2 linked regions of the Mus musculus genome follow. The protein of the gene in region 1 binds, or shares a complex with, the protein of each later gene. Links are inferred from orthologs where the notes say so. Each region holds a gene or a part of one and is shown on either strand. Other genes may lie near its edges. The genes, in order: Nrip1 and Rora.

Region 1 (4,548 bases):
TATTATATAACAGTAAAGAATACGGTTGGGTCACTTGGATAATTTTTGGTTTTGGTGTGCATCAATAACTGCTTCCAAATGCTACCGAAATTCTTAAGGATATGAAAACATATGAGAGTAGAAAGCTTCATCCACAAAATTGTCTTAGTAAGTATTTTAAGGCAGGGATAGCACTTCAGAGTTTAGGGTGAATCGAAGATGTACTTTAGCCTTTTTTTTTTTTTTTTAATGTCAAACAAAAACAACTTCTGCAACCACAAGTCTTCCCGCAGGTAATTCTTTTCATGACTAGAGTCAAAAACAAACGAGACAGAGACATCTGGGGTAGGGGGAGCGTTAAAAGGAGGCTTCACAAGTAAGATATGAAGGGAGTAGAGAGAATAGGTTTTAAAAGCAGAAAACACAAGGCGAGGAAGAGATCATGGTTTCTTATTTTTCTCTCCTCCCTCCACTTTCTCGCCTCACCAATCTGTTAGCCCACCTCAAATTTAGAGGCGGGTTCAGCGAGACCAGGCTGCAGGAAACCCAAGTTTCCCTGCATTGCCACCCTGGCTATATGATGTAATTGTTATTTATTGAGACTCTGAACCCAGCAAGAGCTGCTTTAAAGAAGTGACAGCCCATCTCCTAGTCCTGTTGGGTCAGATCCTTCCTGGGGGTGGTGCAGTTTGGCGGGCAGACCCTGCTGGAGACTTCGCAGTGACAAAGCAGCAGAAGAGAAACCAGGTTCCTGGGTCCTGCGTCCGTCTAGGGAGCTAGCTGTGCACTCCTCAGGTCTCCTTTCCAGTTTTCCGCTTGGAATCATGCCATATTTATCACTGGGTCCTACTAGGTGCTGAGCATGGGGTCAAAATGACCTAGAGTTATACAGCGCCGCAGCTTCCGGGATTTGAGCGGGACACAGATTTTAAGGAGGTGGAAATTGAGGGTGGGTAAAGGGCGCCAAAAGAACGCGTGTTTGTGGGGTGAAACGGGAGAAAGGGAGACACTTAAGGTGCCAGCACGTAGGCTGGGGAACCTGGGGTAGGATTAAGGTGCCCCGACGCCCCTGTGGTGCCCCCAGCGTTTGCCCCGGCACGGGTGACATGGGCGATCGCCTGGCCCCTAGCGGGGAATCTGTCCAGGCGGCTGGCTGGACGGGGCTGGGAAGCCAGGGCGCCGGCTCGGGAAGCACAGCACCCCCTCCTTCTCCGGGTCCAACCGCGTCCTCTCTCTGCCTTCAAGGCCGATCAGTCCCGGACCCCCACCCGGAGCACCGGCGAGGAGGCCTGCAGACGCCCGGTGGGCTCCCCGGCTCCGCCGAGCCTCCGGGTGCGCGCTCGGCCCGGGTGACAATGGGAGGGAGGGGCAGAAAAGGGTTAAGAAACTTGGCTGAAGAGCTGAATGGCGTGGAGCAGCGAGGGGAGGGACCCGGCCGCCGCGAAGTCGGCGGCGGAGGGAGGAGCGCGGCTGCGGCGGGCGGGCGGCGAGCGAGGCGCTCAAAGTCAGCCTCGCAGACATTGCAGCAGAGCCCCGAACTCGGGAGGCGACGGCGACCGCGGCGCAGGCGGAGGACGAGCCGGCCCCAGCCCGCCCGAGCGCAGCGCCCGTGGCCTCGCGCGGCCGCAGGGCACGGCTAACCTGGGAAGGAGGGAGCGACGCGGATCGGCGGCCCGGAGCCGCGGCGGCCTCGGTGAGTGGCAATCGCGGCCCGGGCTCCGTGCGGAGCTCGCGGGAGCGGACGCCGCGCCGCCCGGGCACGGCCTGGGTGCGCGGCCCGTGGAGGCGGCGGAGGCCGGGGGAGGCCCGCGGGGAGCTCCGGGAACACGGATCCCGGGGACAGCCCTCCGCCGCGCCCCGCTCCGGCTCTCCCCTGGAACTCGCGGGCCCGGCCGGCGCAGCCGCCAAGTTGTGGAGTTCCCAGCCGCGGGCTCGTCCGTGCCAGCCTTGGCGCGAGGGGCGCAGCCGCCCTGGGTGTTCTGCGCCGGGACCCACGCGGGTGGCCGGGTCGCGGGGCCCCGGTCGAGCTCGCCCGCCCAGCTGCCCCCGTTGGCCCCGAGCCCCGGGCGCTGGCTGCCGCGCCGCTCGGTCCTGCCGCCCAGCGGTGCTCTCGGTGGCGCCCGCGCTGCTCCCCGCCTATCGCTGCCGTCTCCCTTGCGCGGTGCTCGCCGATCCCCGGCCGGGAAAAGTGACTCGGAGAAGGGGCAGCACTGAGCCCCAGGCCCGGCCTGCTGGGCACGAGCTCCCCGCTTGCCGAGGGAGGGCGAGGCTCCTTGCACCCGAGGCCTCAGCCCAGTTCCCCCAGCATCCGAGAGGGGGTTCACTCGCATGAGCCTGGTAAAGTCCGGGGAGACCGCTCTCCTCTCTGGTGCCACTGTCCTCCTTTAATACTATTGTTGTTAGAAGAAACCCTCTAGCGTGCAAACATTCCCCAGACCCTCCTATCCCTTTCCAAAGTACTTTCCAAATTTTAATCAGGAGTTGATATTCAGACTGAAGGAACAAAGGAATCCACTGTGTTTAAAAGGCGGACAGGCAGAGAGTCTGACACATGTTGATCTCTAAGGCATTCCAGGAGTTTCTACCTTCCATCATGTCAGTAATTTAACTGGATTCTGGAGGTCGTAAACGAAAAACGGAACGTTAGGTAATTTCACGTTAAAATACTTTGTCGTCGTCGTTGTTGTTTTAATTAATGGGTCATTTTAGTTGGGGGAAAGTCCGGACATGATTAGGTGCAAGAACTTTTAACTCATTTTTTTGTGGCACCAGGCTGGAGTTTGTCTGCTCATGTAAGCTGATTGTGACACTGAAGGAAAACCGTGTTTTTAGAGAAAGAGAGACAGACTAAAAGTAAACCAAGATTGGCATGTCTGTCTGTCTGTCTGTGTCTGTGTATACGAATACATGCTTAAATGATGTGTGGTCTGTGTTTCTTGGGTTTTGTAAAGCAGGGGCTTTAGTAATTCTTTAAAGTTATGAATTACATTGAACCCGCTTATTAGTGAATCACAGGTTTAGCAAGTGGGCGGCATCTTCCAGATGCAATTATCCAGTGTTTAATCATCAGGTTGCCACCTTTGTCTAAGAGTGAAATAAGTCGACTTTTTAAACAAACGGTGCTTCCTATGCACGGCCCCTAAGAGTGGCTGCTGTCTGGAGTATGTTGAAATCTTCCACTTCCAAGTGAGTTGCCCTGGTTTTGCCCAGCAGTTTGGTAATATCCAACAGGGTTTAATTGATTCAGGGACTTCAAAACCAACAGGAAATTTCTGTACAGGACTTAGTTACTGTAGACAAAGAAGGAGAGTCAGAATTGTAGCAGGCAGTACCTGCAAACCAGATACTTACTCCAGCCTGTTTTATAATAACTCTACTGGGGACACTTCTCTCCACACTTAGCCTTTCAGGGACTGGAGCATGAAGAAAATATACTTAAAAAGTAGACATACAAACTCTAAGGAGGGAAGTTCGGTTGCTGCTTGTTTGTATACAGATGAGTCCTGTGAAGTGCCTTCAAGATACTTGGAAACCAGGCTTCAGTGGCTACGAGAAGACTTAGAGCCACCTATCTGTGTTTCCAAACTTTGCCGAACTTGAATTTTTATAATCGAGAGATCTGAAAATATTGTGCGTTAGCAATGGCAAAATGTTTGTGGATAAGGCCAAGGCTTTGACTCCTACAGCTTTAAGAGCAAAACATTGTGATTAAAAAATAACCTATACCACCACCTAGAGTCTGTTTGTTAGTCTATTGCTCTTGGAGTCTGCTTACGTTGACACATCCCTTATGGTTCCTGTATAGTCAAAACATGATTAGAAGTTTAGGCTTTCCAAAGGCCATCCCGGAGAACAATTATTTCAGTAATGCATAGCAAGTGCCAATTTAAATTACCCATGCCGCTTTCGGAATCAAAAATTATGACATATCAACTCAAGTGGGCTAGTCTCCAGAAGATATTAACTCAAAAGAAAAAAAAAATTTTTTAAAGATAGCTTCTTTTAGCTTGTGCTCCAAGGTGGCTCTGACTGTGCAAAGATTTTCCTGTGTTATTAGAGATTCAAGAAATATTACAAAATAAGTGTTCTCAGTGCCTTGAGAGGTTCTGGGGTGGGGAGGTGGGGGACAGAAGCTATGATTAAAAAAATATAGAGAGGGAGGAGTGGTGCCACTTACCAACAGTTTGGATGTGGAGAAGGTTAGGGAGTAGAGAGTCGATGCCTGTGAGATCATGTGTTTGAGCATACAGTCAGTGTGAAGGGAAGTGCTATACAACCTGTCCTGCTGGAGGACTGTTTGCAGGGAAGCAGTCTGTTAAACAGGAGGCCTGAAGGAGGCACCCTCTGCCATGTGGCTTATCACATTGTCCAAGGAGGGAGTAAGGCTCCTCCTTCCACGGTGTCGCCTGAAAGATGGCCTCCCAGATCTTTAATTAAATATCAGCCGAACAGAGAGAACTAGAGCACTGCATTAATTCTGCCAGACATCACTATTTTAGAACATTGAGGACAACCAAAAAAAATGAATTAACTCCTATCTGAAAGCAGAGTTTTGAGGAAGGTGACAGA
Region 2 (3,808 bases), on another chromosome or scaffold:
TTTTCGTAAATGGTTATTGTATGAGGCCAGGGATGGTGGGCTTTCCCATCTTAGCTTCATTGTATATATGAGCCATAGTCTTTCCATTATTTGAACACTGTATTTATTGAAAACCTGCTTTACTTGAAGCTGCAAGGGTGACTGTGAAAGCCCATGCACTACTCACTCAATGGCTACCTTGCAGCTGAACTCAAGCTTACATATGACACAGACAAAGATATTTGCTGCTTGCCGAGTGTTTTATAGCAAATGGCTACTATACACAGAAAAATAGGTGTATCACCCTTTAGCTTTGGTTCCACATAACCAGTTTCTATTGTGCCACATGCTTGTACATGATCCCCACTTACAGAGACAAAACTGTGAGCTTTCCTTACCTAGGGACTTGAAGACATCGGGGCTCGCATACTTCCCGTCAAAGTACACGGTGTTGTTCTGAGAGTCAAAGGCACGGCACATCCTAATAAACACCACCTCTAGCGAGCCTGCACGGAGGAAGGATTGTTTAGAACCGTCCCACAGACCTTAGTTCCTTTCTGAGGTACTGAAACAGATGCCTTCCTGAGATGGCACAGCGCTTTGTGCCTGGCTTCTCAGTCTCACTGGCCCTCTGTCCAAAGGGGCAGAAGAAATGAAGACTGACTCACATTGCAGAGGGCAACATTAATGCATACTTATTGCAACAATCCAGCCTAGGAATGACTCTTTGAGCCCAGAAGCATCTTTCCAGCAGCTCAGCACTAGGGCTTGAAGGGTGATAGTAAGATCATGGGCGTACAAAAATTCCCTAGTGGAGCCTTCTTCCCGGAGGAATAGGAAAATGGGAGGAATGCTTTCTGAGCATATCTTTTAAAAATATATCTACACACACACACATACACACACAGATACAAATAACTAGTGTATGAGTATTTTGCTTGCATGTGTGTGTGTGTGTGTACCATGTACACGCCTGGTGTCTGTGGAGATCAGAAGAAAACATTGGGTCCCCTGGAACTGTAGTTATTTATGGTGGAGCATCCAGGTGTGTGCTGGGATTGAACCTGGGTCCTCTGCAAGAGCAGCAAGTGCTCTAACCATAGAGTCATCTCCTCAGCATCCCCCCCAAACACAACTTTAAAATGTTTTTATAAAAAGGGTTCAGTTTCTGCTAAGTATACCCTGAGCTATTATCACTGAAGAAAATGCCTTCGACATCTTCCTTAGCAAGCATTTCTGTAACAAGCAGGTGAAAACAGGCAGGAAGTGGGTATTAGGATTCACTCGCAGCACACATACCTGCTTTTAGAAGCACAATTTGATCATTTTGACACAGCTCCATAAATCCATCAATGCGTTTGGCAAACTCCACCACATACTGGATAGCTTCTGTAATCTTGATGGCACACAGCTGCCACATCACCTCTCTCTGCTGTGAAAGAGGAAGGCACATTAGCATAAGACTAGCTGGGAACCCTGGTGCAGCCAGCCTCGGGCTGGCTTCCTAGTTTGTAAAAAGCTTTCTTTGGAAATGGGTTAAAAAAAGATTATAGGATTAAAAAAAAATAGTCTCTGTTACTTAGGTTATAAAAGCCTGCTTCCGTATCCTTTCTGCCTACTGAGATTCCTAGCTTACAGTTTGAAGGTGATGGAATGGAGGGTGGCAGCGAGGTGGGGGGTAGAAAGTGAGGAATATTATGGATGTATGGGGCCAACAGCTCAACACAAGTCAGGAGAGCAATATACATTACTGCTTAGCTGTGGGCTACACAGTAAGACAAGGATCTTCTTTTTCATGCAGTTAATTTATTTTAGGGAGTTTACCCATGCTCTCCTTGGAGGAGGGGAGGGAAGAAAAGGGGTACCAACCACATTTTTTTGTCTGTACCCCCTTATGTTTGATAACATCCCTGTTTCATATCATACACATTGTCTTCTATTCAGAAATGACATCAAAACGCTGAGGCTTCTCAGCTAGTAGTACAGTGTAAGAGGAGCTGAGGTCGAAACCCTACTTCTCAAGGCTTGCTGGTTCTCCTCTGTGGCTGGGATGATGGGGCTACTTTGCACTGAGAGGCAGACTAAATGAGCTGTTGCCGGTCCCTTCTTCCCTCCCACTCATCACAGTGTCCTGGGGCTTTTTGCTTTGCTCCTCTGCTCTTCCGATACACCCTGTTGTTTAAGGTTGGTTTAAGGTTCTTTCTAATAGTATGATGGGGATCAAACCCTGGAGTTGAGTCACATGAGGCCATGGTGTTAATGCTCTCACTGCGTGGTCACAGCCAAGGGATGACAGTTTTCTTCCATTTCACAGCAAAGGGAAGGATCCACCTCTATCATCTCCATGGTCCTTCCCTAGCCCGACTTTCTATGATCACTGGAAAACGCCTCCATATCTTCTCTTTCCAAAGGCAAAGTGAATAAGTACCACCACCCTACCTGCAGCTTACCCTCACACTTTAGTGACCCCATTGGTCATTATCGTTGAGAGAAAAGCAAGTAGGGTCATCACCTGTCAGGCTCCGTTTTGGTTCTGAGCAGTTATAGCCAGACTTTCCAAACCTCATTCTTCTCCTTCTTTATTAAAGCCATTTTAACTTTGTGTGTGTGTGTGTGTGTGTGTGTGTGTGTGTGTGTGTGTGTGTGTGTGTGTGTAGCACAGAGGCTCAGGTCCCCTGAAGCTAAAATTACAGGTGAGCTACTTGACATGGGTGTTGGGAATCAGACTCAGACCCTCTGGAAGAGCAGCAAGTGCTCTTATCCAGTGAACCATCTATCTCACCAGCCCCACCTTTGCCCACAATCTCTAGCCAACTATTTGTTAATCTAGAAGCATGTAGCATGGGGCTGAGAGTACTTTCCTCAATTCTTAGACCTCAGAATCTTTTTCTGTGGCATCAGGACAAATCCTCACTCGTGGAGGCTTTCGGAAGCTGCCCGATCCAGTTATCCCAACTGGCACAAAGGAAGGACTTACGAAACACAATAAACTTTGTTCCAGCTGAACTTTCACACGCTAGCATCTCAGGAAGACAACAAAGCTCTGGCTGTAAGATCCTGATCAGAGACTTGAGCTCTGATGCAGGACAGTCAGCCTTGGTCTGTCTGGACTCTTGAATGAATGCCCTTCTCCCACCCCCACCCAATGTTGCCTCAGTGGGAAGAGAAAGTCCTCCAACTCTACCTTGTTCTGGTAGTTTTCAATCTCCTCCTGCAGGAAGGTCTGCCACGTTATCTGCTGGAGCTCTTCCCGCAAGTACTGGCAGGTTTCCAGGTGGGATTTGGATATGTTCTGGGCAAGGTGTTCTGGGGAGAAAACAGGAGATCACGACCATGAACAGCCACGTTATTTTAGGAGCCAATAATACTCTTCTGCCGGTGTCATCCACCTTAAAAAGCAACTCACTTAAAGCAATGTGCTGACATTTGGTTTCCTTTGTATAGCTAAGGAAGATGGAAACCGCCTGTGTTTGTGCCCCAGGGGATGGAGGAGAGAGGCTTTGCAAAGCCAACAAGACTGCTGGAAGTATGGTGGATTCAGAGACTTGAAGACCTTGGCCTTGTCATAGGCTTTCTGCCCGTGTCTGGAGATGAACATGGGTTAGGCAGGAAAAATGAAAAACAGCCTCTTCTTGGCTTTTTGTGCTGTCCTGACAAAAGTGGGTCTTTAAAAGCCAGGAAGTTATGTAAGTGTGCACATGTCTGTGTGTGAGCACAAGAGCATACATCTTTTTATTTCTGCAGTATGTGTATGTGTCTCGAGTGTCTTCCTTAATTGCTCGCTCCCCTTGCTCCCTGTCCCCCCCCCCTCCCCCATGGTTGGGTCTTT

Evidence for each region.
Region 2: the proteins of Nrip1 (region 1) and Rora are in contact, whole or in part, in a crystal structure (PDB 4S15), measured with the Homo sapiens proteins. The link is inferred for Mus musculus from reciprocal best matches to the Homo sapiens genes NRIP1 and RORA. Residues at the interface, in NP_001426204.1 of Homo sapiens: Thr499, Leu500, Leu501, Gln502, Leu504, Leu505, His507; in NP_599023.1 of Homo sapiens: Gln332, Val335, Lys339, Phe344, Met345, Gln349, Gln352, Ile353, Leu356, Pro505, Leu506, Glu509, Leu510.

The regions. Positions count from the first base shown.
Region 1 is NC_000082.6:76,369,996-76,374,543, reverse strand, and holds the start of Nrip1 (nuclear receptor-interacting protein 1), read left to right. Parts: upstream 1-1,494; 5' UTR 1,495-1,672; intron 1,673-4,548. UniProt on the Homo sapiens protein: Modulates transcriptional activation by steroid receptors such as NR3C1, NR3C2 and ESR1. Also modulates transcriptional repression by nuclear hormone receptors.
Region 2 is NC_000075.6:69,370,692-69,374,499, reverse strand, and holds part of Rora (nuclear receptor ROR-alpha), read right to left. Parts: intron 3,286-3,808; coding exon 3,164-3,285; intron 1,412-3,163; coding exon 1,279-1,411; intron 486-1,278; coding exon 378-485; intron 1-377. UniProt on the Homo sapiens protein: Nuclear receptor that binds DNA as a monomer to ROR response elements (RORE) containing a single core motif half-site 5'-AGGTCA-3' preceded by a short A-T-rich sequence.